Arabidopsis thaliana: one gene and its partners. The protein of the gene in region 1 interacts with the protein of each later gene in a pairwise test. Each region holds a gene or a part of one and is shown in the gene's direction. Other genes may lie near its edges.

Region 1 (4,309 bases):
TTTATTAATTGGCTGTAATATATGACCGCTGCTCAAAGAATGGGAAAGAGCTATTTGTACATAAACCCAAATAAATATATATCCTCAAGATTGAAGTCAATTATCTATCTATTTGGATAAATTATTATTTTGTGGTTGAATGAATTGCTGATTAGTAGCATATATAGTTGCAACTTGGTCATGATTCTGGTCGTGCTCAAGAGTTGCCTAACTTATTTCTATTTTTCAATAATATCTTAATTTAACAAAAAGATGGAAATATTTCACTTCAGTTCTGTGATTCTGTTATACTTTCATATATTTTCCAAATTTCCAAATCATAAGAATACTATCGAGTTTCTATAATCAGGTCAAATAAGCTTGAAACAAATAATAACATAGGTTGAAATAGTTACAATGTAAACAGCAAATGGCTTAAAGTCTTAAACCAACAATTAAAGACTCATGAAGAACCACCAAAGCCAAACTATGACAAGAGAAATATCAGTTCATTTGAAATCTTAAAAGGTATAGAAGTGTTGATTAAGGATAACGGACTATCGATGATATCCTCTTCGTATATTTTTTTTAAAAAAACAGCAGAAAATCTTTATCATATATACACTTTTCATTCCGTTACTTAAACGTTAGTAAATAACCAATATCATAACTCATAAGTTCATTAATCATAGGGTATATAAAGCTGTAAATCATATTATGTTGACTTTTTCGTAATATATGCAATTTTTAATAACTAAAATGTTTGAAATCGAAAGATGTCTTTGGAAAACACAAAGTGGTATATATATATAGATATAGATTTGGTTAAAAATGTATGTAATTCTTTAAAAATGACAATGTTTAGAGTTTACTGGATTGTAGAACCTATGGATTTTGTTTAATGGCAAAAACAAAAATGGAAGTAAAGATGTCCATCGACAGATCAAAAACTCATATATATTGTCAAGATGAAATGATATAACGTTCTATAAAAACATTAAGTGAATCCCTGATAATCGGAAGAACGATAAAACAACTTGAAGAGACTGAGTTATCAATGTCCCACAAGTGGTACCAAAATAGTTTATGCATACCAAAACTATTTAATTAATCGAATGTAATTGACCAAAATAGATATCAGACTCAAAAGAATACCAAAACTTCAGTGATAACCAAAAGCAGATAAAAAACGTATATAGTTTATGCATTTGCCAATAGATGAGAGGCATATCCATTGGCACTAAGATCAAAGCCAACATATATATAAAGATAAAAGGAAAAAAGAGAGGAAAAATAACTGAAAATATGAATATCCAAAATATTGTGGAAGCGCCTAGACAAAAGTAGAGCATAACAAGGGAGTATGGGTCCAAAAGTATCACAAAAGATTGCATCCTAAAACAATGTACAAAATCCAACAACGGACCGTTAATGGCACTTTAGGTTTTGTCGGTACCAAAAACAGTAATCTTCTTTTTGTTGACAAAATTAAAAACCTAAAAATCTTCATCTACCTTTCGGTTGATTAACAGTTATATTAACCATAGTTTTGAAAATTGAAACAAGCCAGCCAATTTAGGTTACAATTTTTTGTAAAATGAAATAAAAAGTCAATGGGGGATGGCAAAAAAAGAGGAGGAATAAGCAATTATGGCATGTGAGTAAAACGAAAAAGAGACACAAAACAGACAATCTATTTGTCTTCAACACCGCCACAACCAATCCCCAATGACTTGGTTACTTTTTACACTTTCTTCGCCGTTATCGCATCTCTTTTGACAAGTCAACACTCTTCATACGTCTCACTTTTTTTTTTAATATGAGAAACGCATTTATAGTTTAGTTTCTTTTGTTACACCACCCAAAAAAAAAGTCAAATCTATATATAACGTTCCTCGTTCGTTCTAATAAAAAACTATACAATAATAAATAAATAGCGACAGCTATCCAAAAAGAGTTTTAACAATACTTGTATTTTCCGTGTTTTGACTTTTGTAATTATTCTGAATATTTCCACTATCCCTTTATATTTAAAGACCCAAACTCTTCATCTATCTTCTTGCTAACTTATTCAAACCAATTCACATATCTCCTAAATCTCAACGACTGCACTTTGAAGCTTTTTGTTTAGATTCGTTCGTCGTTTCCATTGATTAAGTCTACTTCTTTTTTTTCATATTTTCGAGCGGGTCAAATGGATCAAGAGATAGAGATTCCTTCCTTCTTCCTTTGTCCAATCTCTCTAGATATCATGAAAGATCCGGTGATAGTTTCCACCGGAATAACCTACGACCGAGAAAGCATCGAGAAGTGGCTCTTTTCCGGTAAGAAAAACTCATGTCCAGTCACCAAACAAGTCATAACCGAAACTGATCTTACCCCAAACCACACTCTTCGCCGTTTGATTCAATCTTGGTGTACCCTCAACGCATCATATGGTATAGAGAGGATCCCAACTCCAAAACCTCCGATCTGTAAATCGGAGATCGAAAAGCTTATCAAAGAGTCGTCATCTTCGCATCTAAACCAAGTCAAATGCCTCAAACGACTTCGTCAAATAGTATCTGAGAATACAACCAACAAACGGTGCTTAGAAGCCGCAGAAGTTCCGGAGTTTTTGGCAAATATCGTAAGCAACTCTGTAGATACGTATAACTCTCCTTCTTCTTCACTTTCTTCTTCGAATCTCAACGACATGTGTCAGTCAAACATGTTGGAGAATCGATTTGATTCTTCAAGAAGCTTGATGGACGAAGCCCTAAGCGTACTCTACCATCTTGACACATCGGAGACAGCCCTCAAGAGTCTTTTAAACAACAAGAAAGGAACAAATCTTGTGAAAACGTTGACGAAGATTATGCAACGTGGGATCTACGAGTCAAGAGCCTATGCGGCTTTGCTTCTCAAGAAGCTCCTGGAAGTTGCGGATCCAATGCAGATCATATTGTTGGAACGAGAACTTTTCGGTGAGGTGATTCAAATCTTGCACGACCAGATCTCTCACAAGGCGACAAGATCAGCAATGCAAATCTTGGTGATCACATGTCCATGGGGAAGGAATAGACACAAGGCAGTGGAAGGTGGAACAATCTCGATGATAATCGAGCTTTTAATGGACGATACTTTCTCATCAGAGAGAAGGAATTCAGAGATGGCGATGGTGGTTCTTGATATGTTATGTCAGTGCGCAGAAGGAAGAGCTGAGTTCTTGAATCACGGTGCCGCTATTGCGGTTGTGTCTAAGAAGATATTGAGGGTCTCACAAATAACTAGTGAAAGGGCAGTTAGGGTTTTGCTTTCGGTTGGGAGGTTCTGCGCGACACCCTCTTTGTTGCAGGAGATGTTGCAATTGGGAGTTGTAGCAAAGCTGTGTCTGGTACTTCAAGTTAGCTGTGGTAACAAGACTAAAGAAAAGGCTAAAGAATTGCTTAAGCTTCACGCTAGGGTTTGGAGGGAATCACCTTGTGTCCCAAGAAATTTGTATGATTCGTATCCTGCTTGAACAACGTACATGTTTGAATAATTCTCATCAGATACAAACAATTCTTTGAGAATTATTCTTCGTATAAGTTCATTTTAAAACAAAAAAGAGTGGTTTAAATTTTGCTCAAACTCTGATTTTCTTTCATTTGTTTTTGTTTTATTATCTTTCAATGTTTATCATTATGTGTAGATAATAGTGGACATATTTTCATGAAATTATGAAAAAACTGCAAAGAAATAAATGGATTCACAGGTTACATGGCTATTTTATCCCACTTGCTTTGTTCGTAATTGTTAGAGGCTCCTTATTTATATTCTTTTTGTCCATTACTCACAATAATAATGGAGAACATCTCTTTCAACTTCTCGTTTTTATTGAGTGGATAACCTAAAGGTTACATCATAGTTCTGCTAAAACCATTACTTTTTACAAATACTTTTAGAGATTTGTATGCGTCATGTGTAACGTTTCTGACCATTTAATTGATGCCAGAATTGTAACATTGCGAATGTAATTATGTATATATATATATATTATGTCGGTACGTTCTACAACTCTAATCCCACTATTGATTTATATATTCCAGTATACATCGACGATATCCACGACGGGCATTCTTTCATTCGAGGATGAGTTTCTGTTTTAAGAAATTCTTAATTAAGATTTGTTTTCTTAATTATTATGTAAACATACCAAAAGTCCTTCATATATATGTGATTTTGTATTCACTTATTGTGATTTTTTAGATCACTCAGTTTAAAATGATTTAGACTAAACGTGGTAAAAACTGTTTACGAAAACTCTTTGCATGCGTTTTAACGATCAATAGACATTTCATTATCGGTA
Region 2 (5,934 bases), on another chromosome or scaffold:
AAACCATCCATTGTTCTTTTGGGTAATAATTGATTATTATAATATTTATGGTGTAGATCAAATTTATTTATTTTCCTAAGATATTGTATATATCAGTGATCAGTCGAAAGATTCAAAACTGAAAAGTGTATTCTATCAATTATATAAAAAAAAATTACTTACTGAGTAATCGTAGAATTTAAGGTATTTTATCCAACGATCGAAAGGATAATTAAGCAAATGAAGAACTTAACTACGGATCGGAATGTTTTCTAAAAACAACAAATAATAAGAAAGAAAAAACAATTGTATAAAAGACAGGTCCACATGAGTGCATGTGAAGCAACAGTTTGTGTTTAGTACTGTAATAAGAAGGATGGAAACATGAAATCAGTAAGAGGAGTGGGTAATTGTTGGAGTATTACAATAATTGTTTTGATGAATATTATGCGTGTGCATTTCTCTGCCATTTTCCCACAAATCATTTAGCATTTAGCTTATCTTATCCTTTATCAAATTGATCAGTTAGTTTACCTCGACCCGTTCTTGATACATACATATCTGTTTGAGTTTTTAAACATCTTGGTGTTGAATTTGTCACGGTTATTATTTATCAAGTTTGGATTCTTTTTAGTGATATCAAATTACTATGCTATGCTAATTGGGCAGTCTGAAAAAAAAATAAAAATTATATTCTCTCGTTTGACGTACGTTTTTTTTATTCCGTCTCCATTTTACTTTACCTTAAAGGCATTGGCACTGACTTTGGGTGTATACGTCTACACATGCTTTTAGTCTTTTAGACATCAGGTAGAAAGTTTACGAAATTAGAATTTTATATCTGAAGAACGTTTAAGAAAGTAGCATTTTAATTAGGGACAATTTGCTGATACATTCAAGAAGTGATACAATTAACCACTTTATTTAATTTTTATTTGTTATATTATCAACAATATTATACTATACCTATATTACACTGCCATAAATCTGTAACATGGGAAGATTCTTATCTAATCAATCATGCAAACGAAAGAACAGTAACAAGCCTGCACTCTCTGCAGTGGCATACATTATAGTATTCACACTTTTGTTACGCATCAAGGTAAGTATGATTGAACTAAAGAAATATGTTTTCACGTATAATGGCCATGAGTGGGCTCGATCTTAATTTTTTTTAACCAACCAAATAGAAAGAAGCTTTTCGAAATTCAAAAGGGGTAAGAAGAAACGTGAAGATCGATCGTGGGAATATCTTCATTATTGCTGATTTTAATTAATAATGAAATTTATTTGGACCTATCTGATATTTAAATATGCTGCAGAGCATAGGGTAATAGGATCATCTGTTCTTCTTCATCACATGTGCAGGTCACCCATTCTTATATGCTTCGAACGTTCACCTCGGTGGCTATATCCTAAATACGAGATTTACAATATAATCACTGATTCATCATTAATATGTAATGTAATCGAATATTGCTAAGAGCTAATGGTATATTTTTTGTTTTTCTTCCTTAGAAGGCAAGCGTTAAAAGACACAAAAGGAAAAAGGTGGGAAAATAGATAAAGACATTCTACAAAAGCTGAATTAGAATGAAGTTAAGCATAAGCTACCTCTATGCCACACACCAAGTGTATGTATAAAAAATAGTAATTATATTAGTATTAGTTTAAGCTTAAGCTATCTATGGCACATTCACAAATCACTATACAGCAAATCAATAGTTGACTTAATTAATTTTAAAACACCGAACACATTTTTGGATTAGTTGTAATTGTGAAGAAAACACATTCTCTCTTCACATGTTCAATGTCTTAAGAAATTTCTCAAATACTTCCAAGATCTTGTTTATTTCTTTTTTTCTTAGAACATGTAACCCTACATACTCTTTGATCACTACATCCATATAAAACCAAGATTCATTTTTATATATCTCTGTGTTTATATGTCACATATATATAACATAATAAACACAGAACAAGCATATACTTACAGAGTTTCTTCTTATTCTACTCTCTTCCTCCACCACCTCCTTGCATGTTCACTAGTCTCGTTCTTGGTAATGAACTAAGGAGTCAAGTTTCAGTTGAAGCTGTTGAGACAGAGGAAGAAGTTGAAGATGAAGATGAAGATAATAGTTCTCTTCCTTTACTACTGTTACATTGGTTCTACTTCCTCTGTTTTAGCTTCCATCGACAATGTCAACGAGCTCTCTGTTTTGCTGTCGGTGAAATCAACTCTTGTGGATCCTCTCAACTTTCTCAAAGACTGGAAGCTTTCAGACACCAGCGATCACTGTAATTGGACCGGTGTTCGGTGCAACTCAAATGGCAATGTTGAGAAGCTCGACCTGGCGGGGATGAATCTCACAGGCAAAATCTCAGATTCGATCAGCCAGCTGAGTAGCCTTGTCTCGTTTAACATATCATGCAACGGATTCGAGTCGCTGCTCCCGAAATCAATCCCTCCGTTGAAATCTATTGACATCAGCCAGAATTCATTCTCAGGGAGTCTTTTTCTATTTAGCAATGAATCACTTGGGCTTGTTCACCTCAATGCTTCAGGGAACAATCTCTCCGGAAATCTCACGGAGGATCTCGGGAACTTAGTCTCTTTAGAAGTTCTTGATCTCCGAGGGAATTTCTTTCAAGGGTCACTTCCAAGTTCATTCAAGAATCTACAGAAGCTGAGATTTCTCGGATTATCCGGAAACAATCTCACCGGCGAGTTACCAAGCGTTCTCGGCCAGCTCCCTTCACTTGAAACCGCCATTCTTGGTTACAACGAATTCAAAGGTCCGATTCCACCGGAATTTGGAAACATAAACAGCCTCAAGTACCTTGATTTGGCCATCGGAAAGCTCAGTGGTGAGATTCCGTCAGAGCTTGGGAAGCTCAAGTCACTCGAGACGCTTCTCCTGTACGAGAATAACTTCACCGGAACAATTCCAAGAGAGATAGGAAGCATTACCACGCTAAAGGTTCTTGATTTCTCCGATAATGCGTTAACCGGCGAGATTCCAATGGAGATAACAAAGCTCAAGAACCTCCAGCTACTGAACCTGATGCGCAACAAACTCTCAGGCTCCATTCCTCCCGCCATCAGCAGTCTAGCACAGTTACAAGTCCTCGAGCTCTGGAACAACACGCTCTCCGGCGAGTTACCAAGCGATCTCGGGAAGAATTCTCCATTACAATGGCTTGACGTTTCTTCAAACTCCTTCTCAGGCGAGATTCCTTCAACTCTATGCAACAAGGGAAATCTAACCAAGCTCATTCTCTTCAACAACACCTTCACCGGTCAGATTCCAGCGACTCTTTCCACTTGCCAATCACTAGTTCGTGTTAGAATGCAGAACAATCTACTAAACGGATCAATTCCTATCGGCTTTGGCAAGCTTGAGAAGCTACAGAGACTCGAACTAGCCGGAAATCGTCTCAGCGGAGGGATCCCTGGAGACATCTCCGATTCAGTTTCACTTTCTTTCATTGATTTCTCAAGAAACCAGATCCGATCATCTCTCCCTTCCACAATCCTCTCAATTCACAACCTACAGGCGTTTTTAGTCGCCGATAACTTTATCTCCGGCGAAGTTCCAGACCAATTCCAGGATTGTCCTTCACTCTCTAATCTCGATCTCTCATCAAACACTCTCACTGGCACTATCCCTTCAAGCATTGCTTCATGCGAGAAGCTCGTAAGCCTCAACCTAAGAAATAATAACCTCACCGGCGAAATCCCTAGACAGATCACGACAATGTCTGCATTAGCAGTGCTAGATCTCTCCAACAATTCCTTAACCGGAGTACTACCAGAGAGCATCGGAACATCTCCAGCTCTGGAACTCCTAAACGTCTCATACAACAAGCTCACAGGTCCAGTCCCTATCAACGGCTTTCTCAAAACCATAAATCCAGATGATCTAAGAGGAAACTCCGGTCTCTGCGGCGGCGTTCTACCACCGTGTAGTAAATTCCAAAGAGCAACATCGAGTCACAGTAGCCTCCACGGGAAACGAATTGTCGCCGGATGGTTGATTGGGATAGCATCGGTTCTAGCTCTAGGGATTCTCACCATTGTTACGAGAACTCTGTACAAGAAATGGTATTCTAACGGATTCTGCGGCGACGAGACGGCGAGCAAAGGTGAATGGCCTTGGAGATTAATGGCGTTTCATAGATTAGGGTTTACAGCTTCCGATATCTTGGCATGTATCAAAGAATCAAACATGATCGGAATGGGAGCAACCGGAATCGTGTACAAAGCAGAAATGTCACGATCAAGCACAGTTCTCGCCGTGAAGAAGCTCTGGAGATCTGCCGCGGATATTGAAGATGGAACCACCGGAGATTTCGTAGGCGAAGTTAACCTCCTCGGGAAATTGAGACACAGAAACATAGTGAGGCTCCTAGGGTTCTTATACAACGACAAAAACATGATGATCGTATATGAATTCATGCTCAACGGAAACCTTGGTGATGCGATTCACGGCAAAAACGCCGCCGGGAGACTTCTCGTTGATTGGGTTTCGCGTTACAACATCGCGTTAGGTGTAGCTCACGGCCTCGCTTACCTCCACCATGATTGTCATCCTCCGGTGATTCACAGAGACATCAAATCCAACAATATCTTGCTCGACGCGAATCTCGACGCCAGAATCGCCGATTTTGGCCTCGCCAGGATGATGGCGAGGAAGAAAGAAACCGTTTCAATGGTCGCCGGTTCTTACGGTTACATTGCTCCCGGTAAGGTTTAAATACCATACCGATTACTAAATTGATTACAATCCGGTTTAGTCTAACAACATATGGTTGATCATTTGCAGAGTATGGATACACTTTGAAGGTGGATGAGAAGATAGACATATACAGCTACGGCGTCGTACTATTGGAGCTGTTAACCGGAAGAAGACCATTGGAACCGGAGTTTGGAGAATCAGTAGACATTGTGGAGTGGGTGAGAAGGAAGATAAGAGACAACATATCACTAGAAGAAGCATTAGATCCTAACGTAGGAAACTGCAGATATGTGCAAGAAGAGATGCTTTTAGTTCTACAGATTGCTCTTCTCTGCACTACAAAGCTCCCGAAAGACAGACCTTCGATGAGAGATGTGATATCGATGCTCGGAGAGGCTAAACCGAGGAGGAAAAGTAATAGTAATGAAGAGAACACTAGTCGTAGCTTGGCCGAGAAACATTCATCGGTTTTTAGTACTTCACCTGTAAATGGCCTTCTTTAGTATGAGATTTAAGAATCAAAAGAGGCCGATAAACTGATTCGTTCGATTCGTGTTCTGTATGTAGAAGAAAGAGAGAAAGAGAGAGAGATATGTATCTTTTGATTTAATTTTTCCATGTAGAATAAGTTTCCTTTGTTTTACATGATCATATTAACTTTGTGCATTGCTCTGAACCGTTTTGTTTTTGTGCAAGAAAGGGTTTTCTTATAGATTTTTAAAGTGTGATTTACAAAGAGAACATATAACTAACTAAAAGAAAAATGGCAGAGCCAAAAAAGAAACTGTAAAGGGGAGAGAAGAAGAAGAAGCTTCTTACAATGTTTTTGTCTTCTCTTTGATCTGTGATCTGTCTTATTACTGCTTCAAACATAAAGGGTTCTTCGTAGATTATTATTTGCTTCATAATATCATCTGAGCTGTAAACAAGGATCACACAAACACGGTCACAACGACAAAACAATGATTTTAATACAGATATCAGGATTTGATCGAATCAGTAAATGTACCTTTACCAGTAGCCTCCGATGTTTTCATTATCCGGAGCCTTCTCACTGAACCAATAAACATCCTAGACACAAGTAAAACTCAGGTTCAAACTTCAGAATTTGACGCTTACACGGGACAAAGCATCAAAAGCATAAGAACATATGTATGCATACCCCCACGGAACATCGCCAACAAGCATCCAATCTCCTTCCTTGTCTTCATACGTT
Region 3 (5,777 bases), on another chromosome or scaffold:
GAAAGTCATTGGTCGGAATCAAAGTGGAGGAAGAAGCCTGAAGTGTCGTCTCTGTATGATGGAGATCGAAGAATGCTTCTGCACTTTACCCATTTCCCTAAAAAATAAACAAAAAAAAATGTATAATGTATGTATGTAGCGTGATGTGTACATATTACTTATTAATCTATGCAAATTAAGCTCACTCTAATTACTTTTAAGTTTCCTTTTAAGTCTTATGTTCGTCGTATTTGTTTTCGTGCTTCTTTCTTTTTATAATAATTTAATTATATATTTTTGTTATTACTTGCAGCTGTTTGTTGTTTATCATAGAAGCAATGTGGCATATGGTTAACATGAAATTTGAAGAAAAGACAAAATCACTGGCTTTGCCGACATATCTGCAGTGTCTTTGTTTTGTTTGTTAGTACTGCATTGTCTAAATCTAAATCGTGACAATAAAACAGGATAATTATTTTTCATTATGATGTTCTTTGGTAAATATGTCTATAAATATTCTTACTAATTTACAAATATATATATTCATGTAAATTTTATTATTCAAGAGATCTTACGCAGACATGGTTTTCACAGTACCATTAAGATTATATTCAACTGGTTTGTATTATATTTAATTTATAAATAAAAATTGTCAATTGATAATAAATGGAAAGAAAAAATTAAAATGAAAAAAAATCCATATCCATTCAAATAAAATATCTCGCAACATACGTTTCATACGACAAATAGTGTGACAAACTGACAACCACTTGTCAGAATTGGGCTCTCAATATGGGGAAAAAATAGTCAATGTTATTAAAAAGACAAAAATAAATAAATAAAGGAAAATATATCTAAAATCAATAAGAGATTAAAAAATAGAAATAAATCATGTATTTGGCACATAAACAAGTCATATATCGACAAAAGCCTAAGTTTGGTAGATGAATAGTGATTTTAAATGGTACATAAGCAATTCAAATATGTATAGACAAATAAGCCTAATTTTATAACATTTTTTTGTTTTATATTACAAATCTAACATTTTTTTAATTCAAATATCCCACTATCCTTTTTGAATCAACAGAAAAACATCTCATTAAACTAAAAAATCTCAGATTTTGAACATGTTTAGGTAAACAACCATCATCTCGTCGTTTCTTTTTTACCAAACATCAATTTTACTAAGTTATCAGAAAAACATTTTTCTTTTATCAAGAATTATTCAAAAACCGATAAGTTTACATGAAAAAAGAAAGTAATACAGATACGCGCCTTCTTGATTAAACAATCAATCCGAATATTGTTATAACGAATAAAAAAATATATTAAAAGAAAGAAAAGAAATAAAGAAAGATCGAAAGTAGCCATTTGAATATTGATATTTGATTCTTAACAAATTTATCTCATATAGTAAGTATCCGTCTCACTAAATTTGAAAATACATTAGTCGATATATAATTATTAACTAATTATAACGGTATTTAGTAACGGTATTTACCGTGCGCGGGGACTCATCTAATTAAAAAACTAAATTGAAAAAACCTCAAAAAATAGTAGTTACCACTTACCAGCAAACATTCAAAAAAAAGAAAACAGAGTATGACTGATTTTAAAGTTTCTAAGAAGAAAAGAAGGAAAAAAATCACCGACGAGTCTTTGTGTTTCCGGTCACAATTAATGAAAACCATTTCTAGTCTAACTTTTGTTGTAACGCAAGTTTTGAAACTTATTAATTAAAGAAGACTAATAATTATTATAAAACCCCATCATCACTTTACTTCTCCCTCTTACGTCTCTTTCAATTTCCTCTCTGCAGAATCGCTTCTCTCTCTCTCTCGGCTCCGCCGATTCCGAGTTCCCCGATTCTCGGATTCTTCTGAAGATTTCTCATGTCAGGCTCTCTTGATCGATTTGCGAGACCTTGTGAGTAAATTTTAATCATCCCCTTTCTCTCGATTCTCGCTATTTCGAAATCACGCAATTCTGGTTTGTTAGATTGAGTTTGAGAACTAGACGTAGACGATGCTCTGAGTTTTAGATTTTAGGGATTTGTTGTTGTTGTTGTTGATGTTGATTGAGATTTTGTTTGGTTTAAGGTTTTGAAGGAGTTTCAAGCAATGATGAGAGAAGAGAAAGGAGATCAGATTTCGAAGTTTCAGAGGATGAGAAGAAGACAAGAATCGGGAATTTCAATTTCAAGAAGAAAGCTGCGAAAGCTTCGAGCAAACTCAGACATTCGTTGAAGAAGAAAGGTAGCAGTAGGAGAAGAAGCAGTGATCGTACTTTCTCTCTTACCATTGAAGATATTCATGATGTTGAGGAATTGCGAGCTGTTGATGAATTCCGTAATTTACTCGTCTCTGAGAATTTGCTTCCTCCTACACTTGATGATTATCACATCATGCTGAGGTGAGACTTTATTTCTGTCGATTCATTTTTCATGATGATGATGATGGTGATGATGATGATTTTGATGTTCTATGTTCTCTGTTAGATTCTTGAAAGCTAGGAAATTTGATATTGGGAAAACCAAGTTAATGTGGAGTAATATGATCAAATGGAGAAAAGATTTTGGTACTGACACCATTTTCGAGGTGAATTACATGTTTTTAAAAAAAATCTTAATATGTTACTTTTAATCTCATGTGATGGTTTTAATCTCAATATGTGTGTTAATAGGATTTTGAATTTGAAGAGTTTGATGAAGTTCTGAAATACTACCCTCATGGTTATCATGGTGTTGATAAAGAAGGAAGGCCTGTTTACATTGAAAGATTAGGACTAGTTGATCCGGCCAAGCTCATGCAAGTCACTACAGTGGAAAGATTCATAAGGTATCATGTTCGAGAGTTTGAGAAAACTGTCAACATAAAGCTTCCAGCTTGCTGCATTGCTGCTAAGAGACATATTGACTCTAGCACAACAATTCTAGATGTCCAAGGCGTGGTACTTATAAAACCAGATTCTGTTAGTTTTTCCTAGTGTAGTGTTTATTGTCCTGCATCTTATTACTTATAATTGCTTAACTTATGTTTTGCAGGGGTTCAAGAATTTCTCTAAGCCTGCGAGGGATCTCATAATCCAGCTGCAAAAGATTGATAACGATAACTACCCTGAGGTATGAGCTGGTTGCTATTGATTTTGTTACAAATTGTGTGTTAATTAAATAAGTTTGATAAAAGATAATGTGAGGTAATATTTCACCTATATGCAGACACTTCATCGTATGTTCATCATCAATGGTGGTTCTGGTTTTAAGCTAGTCTGGGCCACAGTGAAACAGTTTCTTGATCCAAAAACAGTCACGAAGATTCATGTAAATTTACCCTTTTATGCATATCCATCCACATTTCCTCAAGTTATCCTAAAGATTATCTTTAATCGTATTAACTATTGTCGATGTGTTGTTGTTATAGGTCATTGGTAACAAGTACCAAAACAAACTACTTGAGATCATTGATGCAAGGTTGAGACATCTCAATCCTCTTGTTTGGTTCACATGAGTCCAAAATATGATATAGCTTGTTTGGTTCACATGAGTCCAAAATATGATATAGCTTCCTAACCATTTTTGGAACTTTTTCAGCCAGCTGCCAGATTTTCTTGGTGGCACTTGCACCTGTGCAGATCGAGGTGGTTGTATGAGATCTGATAAAGGCCCCTGGAATGACCCTGAGATATTAAAGGTAAAAATCGATCTTCCGCAGCCTATTTTGGTTAAAAAGATTAACACCAGACAGAATAGTGTTACTTAACTGATCTTCCCCACCTTGTAGATGCTTCAAAGTGGTGGACCGCTCTGCAGGCATAATTCGGCTCTAAACAGTTTTTCCCGTGTGTCTTCATGCGATAAGCCATCTTTTTCTGGGGTAAAGGTCTTCTATACTTAAGATACGAAACTTGTTTTCAAAATTTGTGTCTTACCGTAACAACAATGTCCTCATTGGCTCAGATAAAAGCTAGTGACACCTCGACAGCAGAATCAGGGTCTGAAGTGGAAGAGATGGCTTCTCCAAAAGTAAATAGAGAGCTTCGTGTTCCCAAGCTGACTCCTGTTTGTGAAGATGTAAGAATTTTTTTTGTACGGAAGTGAAAATCACAGTATGCATTTCAGACTACTTACTACCTGATGTTACTTTCAGATTAGGGGCACTGCTATATCATATCCTACTGACTCATCAGAGTATGATTCACCAATGGTGGACAAAGTCGTGGATGTTGCTTGGATGGCCCATGAAAAGCCAAAGGCTTCAAAAGGTAAAAGAGAGGAATCTAAATATTATGATATGTAAATCAGAAATCAGATCAACGCAAAGTTTAACTGTAATGGAATATGTTTGTGCAGGTTCAGAGGATACACCCGATTCGGGCAAAATAAGAACGGTTACTTATATCTGGAGGTGGCTAATGATGTTCTTTGTAAACTTGTTTACGCTTCTCATATCTTTGGCTCTGCCACAGAGAGAAGGACACTCCCAGTCTGAATCTTCAGTTGATGGACCAAACGCTAGAGAGTCTCGTCCTCCTTCACCGGCTTTTGCAACTATCGCAGAGAGAAATGTGTTTTCTTCTGTTGTAAACAGACTAGGAGATCTTGAGAAACAGGTAGAAACACTGCACTCGAAGCGTCATGAGATGCCGCGTGAGAAAGAGGAGTTGCTTAATACAGCTGTTTATCGCGTGGATGCACTTGAAGCAGAGCTCATCGCTACAAAAAAGGTCTAAAGGAAACCTCTCAATTCCATGTTAAATGACTTTTATTAATTAATATGAAAAGCAACTGTCTTTGTGTGTGTATATTAACGCCAACACTCTCCAATGATTCAGGCTTTACATGAGGCTTTAATGAGACAAGATGATCTTTTGGCTTACATAGACCGTGAAGAAGACGAGAAGTATCACAAGGTAAATCATTTAATTTCTTTCACCCACCCAATCACCCGTAATTTTGTGATTGTTTTTTTGATATATGAAGAGAATACACTTACGTGGTTTTTGTTGGGAAAACAGAAAAAGAAGGTGTGCTGGTGAAGACTGAAGAGAGAGAGAGCTTCGAGTTATACGAGTTACAAGAAGTGGTGTTGTACTCTGCTTTATGAGTAGGTTCGTAAACACCAACCCTATAGAGAGAACAATGTTTATATCCAAAATTAGGTCTCATAAGCAAAGATTTGATACTTTTGGGGGAAATTTTAGAAGAATGTTTTTTCAGTTAATATTCAAAGTACATTTTTATTTATATCAGTGACACCATTTTCTCCCACTTCCGTCTCTGCTTTGCCTCCTATCGCAGTTATCATACAGTATTTGTTTGGTCTATGCTTATATGAATGAGTCATGATGAAAAATGTGTCTATTTATAATTTAAGCTTGATTCAAGGCTAACTCCATAAAAGATGTGGTAAACAACATAGGTAGTCGGTTAGTCGACTTTTTGATATCAAAATTTGAATGTCTTTGAAACTACTAAAATAATGGCTGACTGAGTTAGCAAATTTGATATCAATGATAAAAAAAATTCCCCAAATTCACATAAAAATTACTATTTCCGTATTTCATTTCATTGTGGTGCCAAAGAAAATCGAAACCATCGAAAATGAAAATCAAGCCAGCTAATTTTAAAATAATCACCAGCATCACCTAAAGTAGAATAATACTACCAAACTTTAGTCATTTGTGAGTTTTTACTTTTTTTGTTACCTCTTCTCTACTTCCAAGTCAGCTATCAAGACTAGCACGAGCCATAGCCACCAATGAGGCCAGGTCTAGATCCAAGTACATGACATCGAACGGTG
Region 4 (5,705 bases), on another chromosome or scaffold:
GTTTTATACACTTGAATGTTCAAAGGTTGATGAAAAGGGAATGAGGTGGTTCTACACAGGAGACATAGGACGATTTCACCCTGATGGCTGCCTCGAGATAATAGACCGAAAAAAGGATATCGTTAAACTTCAGCATGGAGAATATGTCTCCTTGGGCAAAGTATAGTTTTCTCAATCCGAATACCCTTTTTTGTCTTCATCACTCAATTCTCCGGAGAAGCTTCTTAAAACATTCTTTTTTTTCGCAGGTTGAAGCTGCTCTAAGTATAAGTCCCTATGTTGAAAACATAATGGTTCATGCTGATTCGTTCTACAGTTACTGTGTGGCTCTTGTGGTCGCGTCCCAACATACAGTTGAAGGTTGGGCTTCAAAGCAAGGAATAGACTTTGCCAACTTCGAAGAACTGTGCACGAAAGAGCAAGCCGTGAAAGAAGTGTATGCGTCCCTTGTGAAGGTATGTTCATTGCTACTCATTACCAAGCTATTTGAGTCCCCCAGTCATTTCCTTATAACATCTGTGTTATGCAGGCGGCTAAACAATCACGATTGGAGAAGTTTGAGATACCAGCAAAGATCAAATTATTGGCATCTCCATGGACGCCAGAGTCAGGATTAGTCACAGCAGCTCTAAAGCTGAAAAGAGATGTAATTAGGAGGGAATTCTCTGAAGATCTCACCAAGTTATATGCCTAAATTTTTCTTCTTCCTTTACTTTTTTTTTTTTTACGTCTCGATGCATTCGAAAGACTTAACAGATGCACAAAAACTTAATTCTAAGAATAGTTATCTCTTTTCTCATTGATGTTTCTGTCTTTTCGTGTAATTTGTGTGGGAACTAGGACGAGACAGAAAAAACAGAGTAATGGGTCTCTTACTCTCAACAATCTTTTTAGGCTTTGAGACCATGTCTATACAACTTAATGGGCCTTTATCAAACCACGTCATTAAGCCTATGCATATAGTTTTTAGTTTATTTGTTTTTGGGACTCGAGATAAACGACAAAAGGAAAGAGACTATCAATTGTAATCTGGAGTGAAAATAAAGTTAATCTTACCAACTACCAACAATTAAGAAAAGATAAATTGGAGATTAGTGTATAAATTAATTATATTGTACTTAACAGAAAAAAAAAAAAAAAAAAGTAGAAAGCAGAGTGAGAGATGGGAGCAATCTAAACCGTCGGATAAATTGTGAATCTCACTGATTTTGTCAGTGAACCCAATGACCAGAGTCAGCGAGACGCGTGAGCTCTTCTTTAATCACATTATTATTATTAAAACCGTTACAACTTCCTTAAATTCAAAAGCTGCTTTCTAAATTCGTAATTTAATTATCCTAAATTATTGTCAATAATGTATTCTCGGGCGGGAATTGTTATAAGCACTTTAAATGTCAATAATTCAAATTAATTAGTACGAAATTACGTTTTAACTTTTAATTCCTTACATTTATATACACAAAAATAATAATTCCTTAAAAAAAGCTGAAAAAGTTAAGATTTAAATGTTTTTTGAGTTCACAGCTCCACATACAGAAGATCACATGCTCTATCTCTCTTTCTATCTTTTGAATTAAAGAAGAAAAATTAGAGAAATATTTCAAAAATAGCAAAAAACAAGATAAAGAGAATTCTCTCTTCTCTCTCTCTCTCTCTCTCTCACGCTATATCTCTGCCTTGTCGCTGTTAATAAATCGTAATAGTGTTTCAGACAGTAGTAGAAGAAGAAGAAAGCTTCTTCCTTTTTGCTTGTTTAATCGCTGATTTTTTTTTGTTTCCATTGGGGCATTTTGGGATCTCAAAGTTCTTCATACAGTCCCCAACCAAAAGGTATTTACTTCACCAAACATTTGGTCTCTTTCACAATATTCTCTTCCTTTGTTCGTTTTTTTTTAATTTATCTACTTAAGTGTTCTCTGAAATAGACCAATGTTTGGAGTGTAGTTTGAGACTTACTTATCACTGTTCCATTACCCTCGTAGCTTTTATTTCCTTCTCTTGGATTTGGGGTTTTGGTAGATTTTCCCTTATGCCTCAACGAGTTTCAAATTTAAAGTTTCAAGCTTTTGTTCTTTGTCTTGTAGCTTTCTCAACCGTTGGTTTTTGATTATGAAACGGACATCTGGAACCACATTTGTTACTATAAAGACAAATTCAGTTCCTTTAAATCATTTCTAATACTTTGTGTTAAATGATTGGTTTATTCAAGATTTTCTCTTATCTTGCATGTTTGCTGATTGGTTCAGTTTACTTCATCTTAAAGTTTGTTTCTTCTTTGACTATGTTTATGTATGTTTCAGCATTTTTAAAGAATCCAATGTATGTGTGTGTGTGTGTGTGTTTTCTCTCTCATTCAGATCCTGAGACTGTTATGTGCTGATTGTGATCTTGGAAACTATAAATGGAGAAAAGGAAGAGAGAATCATCTGAGAGAAGCTTTGGTGAATCAGAGTCTGTGTCTTCACTATCTGAGAAGGATTCTGAAATTCAAGTAAGATCAAGAATTTTGTTTTTGTTATTTTAGTCTTGTGTCCTTTGCATCTAAAAGATCATTGTAATGTCTGTTTTTATTTTTGCTCAAGCCTGAGAGTACAATGGAGTCTCGTGATGACGAGATACAATCACCAACGGTTTCTTTGGAAGTAGAAACTGAAAAGGAAGAGTTGAAAGATAGCATGAAGACTTTAGCCGAGAAACTTTCAGCTGCTCTTGCTAATGTGAGTGCTAAAGATGATCTAGTGAAGCAACATGTCAAAGTCGCTGAAGAAGCTGTCGCTGGTATCAATCTTTTTTTCTACATTTTTGTTTTATGATTCTGCGACTTTTTAGTGAAGATATATCTACTCTTGTTGTGAAGGGTGGGAGAAAGCTGAAAATGAAGTGGTTGAGTTAAAGGAGAAGCTTGAGGCTGCTGATGATAAGAATAGAGTGTTGGAAGATAGAGTAAGCCATCTTGATGGAGCTTTAAAGGAGTGTGTGAGACAGTTAAGGCAAGCAAGAGATGAACAAGAACAGAGAATTCAAGATGCTGTGATCGAGAGAACTCAGGAGTTGCAGTCTTCTAGAACCAGCCTTGAGAACCAGATTTTTGAAACTGCAACCAAGTCTGAGGAGCTTAGCCAAATGGCGGAATCTGTGGCGAAAGAAAACGTGATGCTTAGACACGAGCTTCTTGCGCGATGCGAAGAGCTAGAGATCAGAACTATTGAGAGGGATTTGAGTACCCAAGCAGCTGAAACCGCCAGCAAGCAGCAGTTAGATAGCATAAAGAAAGTGGCGAAACTTGAGGCTGAGTGCAGGAAGTTTCGGATGTTGGCTAAGTCATCAGCTTCGTTTAACGATCATCGATCTACAGATAGTCATTCTGATGGAGGGGAACGAATGGATGTGAGTTGCTCTGATTCATGGGCATCATCCACATTGATTGAGAAGAGAAGCCTTCAGGGAACTTCCTCTTCCATTGAACTTGATCTCATGGGTGATTTTCTTGAGATGGAACGTCTTGTAGCATTGCCTGAGACGCCAGATGGGAACGGTAAGAGTGGACCTGAATCAGTTACAGAAGAGGTTGTTGTTCCCTCAGAGAACTCGTTAGCTTCTGAAATAGAAGTACTGACTTCTCGCATTAAGGAACTTGAAGAGAAGTTGGAAAAGTTAGAAGCCGAGAAACATGAGCTCGAGAATGAAGTTAAATGTAACAGAGAAGAGGCTGTTGTTCATATAGAGAACTCAGAAGTACTGACTTCTCGAACTAAGGAACTTGAAGAAAAGTTGGAAAAGTTAGAAGCAGAGAAAGAGGAGCTCAAAAGTGAAGTTAAATGTAACAGAGAAAAGGCTGTTGTTCACGTAGAGAACTCATTGGCTGCTGAAATAGAAGTACTGACTTCTCGAACTAAGGAACTTGAAGAACAGTTGGAGAAGTTAGAAGCGGAGAAAGTTGAACTCGAAAGTGAAGTAAAATGTAACAGAGAAGAGGCTGTTGCTCAAGTAGAGAACTCGTTGGCTACTGAAATAGAAGTATTGACTTGCCGAATCAAGCAACTTGAGGAGAAGTTAGAGAAGTTGGAAGTAGAGAAAGATGAGCTCAAAAGTGAAGTTAAATGTAACAGGGAAGTGGAGAGCACATTGAGATTTGAGCTCGAAGCTATTGCTTGTGAAAAAATGGAGCTGGAAAATAAGTTGGAGAAGTTGGAAGTTGAGAAAGCTGAGCTGCAAATATCTTTTGACATAATCAAAGATAAATATGAAGAATCTCAAGTTTGTCTGCAAGAAATCGAGACGAAGCTGGGGGAGATACAAACGGAGATGAAACTCGTTAACGAACTAAAAGCTGAAGTAGAGTCTCAAACCATCGCAATGGAAGCAGATGCAAAGACTAAATCCGCAAAGATTGAATCTTTGGAAGAAGACATGAGAAAGGAGAGGTTTGCTTTTGATGAGCTTAGGAGAAAATGTGAGGCTCTTGAAGAAGAGATCTCTCTCCATAAAGAGAACTCAATCAAGAGTGAAAATAAAGAACCCAAGATCAAACAGGTCTGTCTCCAAAGTTCAGGTGTTAGTTAAACTTAGACTGTGTTCCATCACAATCACTTTTTTGTCCACTAAAACTTGATTACTATAATTCAGGAAGACATAGAAACAGCTGCAGGGAAACTTGCGAATTGTCAGAAAACAATAGCTTCATTGGGGAAACAGTTGCAGTCCCTTGCAACACTTGAAGATTTCTTAACCGATACACCGATAATTCCAATGGCTGCAAATGGTGTAAGCAGCAGCAGCAACTCAGAGAGTTGGAAGGTTCACAAAAACGAAACTTTCATGACAAGAAATCATCCTGAGTCCATCAAACCAACCAAAGAAACATCTCCATCTTCTTCTTCTTCTACTGCGTCTGCTGCTGTTTCAATGCCAGTTTCAACAAACCGAGGGAGTTCTGAGAAGAATCGCAATGGATTTGCAACAGTATTCACAAGAAGTAAAGACGGTATCCATCTGGCTATATAACATAACTTTGGCAGAGTAGGCAGAGAAACTTATCTCTTAGGGTTTAAAAAGGATCCGTTTTTAACACCACTTTGTTCCCTTTTCCAGATTTTGAATCCATAGTAGTAGTTTTAAAAGTTAATCTCTAGTGTAATGCAGTGGATGGATATTCCATAAAAGATGTTTCAAAAGTTTTCAATTTTCTGTTAAGAGGTTTTAGGAAGTTTCTATGTGATGTTGTTATGAATCATAATATAAGACAATAAAGAAGAGAAGCCACCATCATAAGAGAAGAATCAAAGACTAGGCATATAAAGAGGGTTCCTATAAAGAGAGAAACATACTATTGAAAAGTTCTTAGACTTGAATCTACTTGGAGACGAATATACATAATAAAGAAGACTGATTTAATGGACGATCAAATTTGCAAGTGTTGGAAGAGAAACTCGACTTGAACTCTAGCTTTCCTTGCTTTGGATTTAGCAGCTTTCCTTGCTTTACGTTTATCGCTAACCATCTTCTTCATAAGCTCCAGTTTATCTCTGATAAAATCTTCATGTCCAAATTCCAATACTCCAGTTCTTCCTTTAACTATTTTGAACCCATGAGAACGAAGGTTGGAGAAAAACCGTGAGAGGTTTGTGCCCAAGTCTACATATTTAGGCAGAATCCTTCTGTAAAACTCTCCAACATTCCAGATAATGAAACTGTTGTTGCTTTCG

The links.
Region 2: the proteins of PUB22 (region 1) and AT4G28650 interact in a two-hybrid assay, tested with the Arabidopsis thaliana proteins (one study listed by BioGRID).
Region 3: the proteins of PUB22 (region 1) and AT1G75370 interact in a two-hybrid assay, tested with the Arabidopsis thaliana proteins (one study listed by BioGRID).
Region 4: the proteins of PUB22 (region 1) and AT1G77580 interact in a two-hybrid assay, tested with the Arabidopsis thaliana proteins (one study listed by BioGRID).

The regions. Positions count from the first base shown.
Region 1 is NC_003074.8:19,440,115-19,444,423, reverse strand, and holds PUB22 (plant U-box 22), read left to right. Parts: upstream 1-1,996; 5' UTR 1,997-2,173; coding exon 2,174-3,481; 3' UTR 3,482-3,807; downstream 3,808-4,309. UniProt on the Arabidopsis thaliana protein: E3 ubiquitin-protein ligase that negatively regulates water stress response. May control in coordination with PUB23 a drought signaling pathway by ubiquitinating cytosolic RPN12a.
Region 2 is NC_003075.7:14,143,442-14,149,375, reverse strand, and holds AT4G28650 (Leucine-rich repeat transmembrane protein kinase family protein), read left to right. Parts: upstream 1-1,838; 5' UTR 1,839-2,099; coding exon 2,100-4,725; intron 4,726-4,805; coding exon 4,806-5,221; 3' UTR 5,222-5,418; downstream 5,419-5,934. Other genes in the region: IAA11 (indole-3-acetic acid inducible 11), read right to left, coding at 5,448-5,632, 5,728-5,789, 5,881-5,934. UniProt on the Arabidopsis thaliana protein: Involved in the regulation of procambium maintenance and polarity during vascular-tissue development. Involved in the pollen tube perception of the female signal. Phosphorylates MDSI1.
Region 3 is NC_003070.9:28,275,893-28,281,669, reverse strand, and holds AT1G75370 (Sec14p-like phosphatidylinositol transfer family protein), read left to right. Parts: upstream 1-1,871; coding exon 1,872-1,905; intron 1,906-2,078; coding exon 2,079-2,391; intron 2,392-2,476; coding exon 2,477-2,576; intron 2,577-2,661; coding exon 2,662-2,928; intron 2,929-3,022; coding exon 3,023-3,100; intron 3,101-3,196; coding exon 3,197-3,298; intron 3,299-3,398; coding exon 3,399-3,448; intron 3,449-3,568; coding exon 3,569-3,668; intron 3,669-3,758; coding exon 3,759-3,851; intron 3,852-3,934; coding exon 3,935-4,048; intron 4,049-4,124; coding exon 4,125-4,239; intron 4,240-4,327; coding exon 4,328-4,701; intron 4,702-4,809; coding exon 4,810-4,887; intron 4,888-4,957; coding exon 4,958-5,001; coding exon of another isoform or gene 5,002-5,013; exon of another isoform or gene 5,014-5,085; coding exon 5,086-5,230; downstream 5,231-5,777. Other genes in the region: AT1G75360 (uncharacterized protein), read right to left, coding at 5,714-5,777.
Region 4 is NC_003070.9:29,143,490-29,149,194, reverse strand, and holds AT1G77580 (filament-like protein (DUF869)), read left to right. Parts: upstream 1-1,548; 5' UTR 1,549-1,830; exon of another isoform or gene 1,831-2,357; 5' UTR 2,358-2,401; coding exon 2,402-2,491; exon of another isoform or gene 2,492-2,582; coding exon 2,583-2,778; intron 2,779-2,857; coding exon 2,858-4,533; coding exon of another isoform or gene 4,534-4,563; exon of another isoform or gene 4,564-4,626; coding exon 4,627-5,004; 3' UTR 5,005-5,168; downstream 5,169-5,705. Other genes in the region: LACS9 (long chain acyl-CoA synthetase 9), read left to right, coding at 26-160, 249-455, 530-694; AT1G77570 (Winged helix-turn-helix transcription repressor DNA-binding protein), read right to left, coding at 5,402-5,705.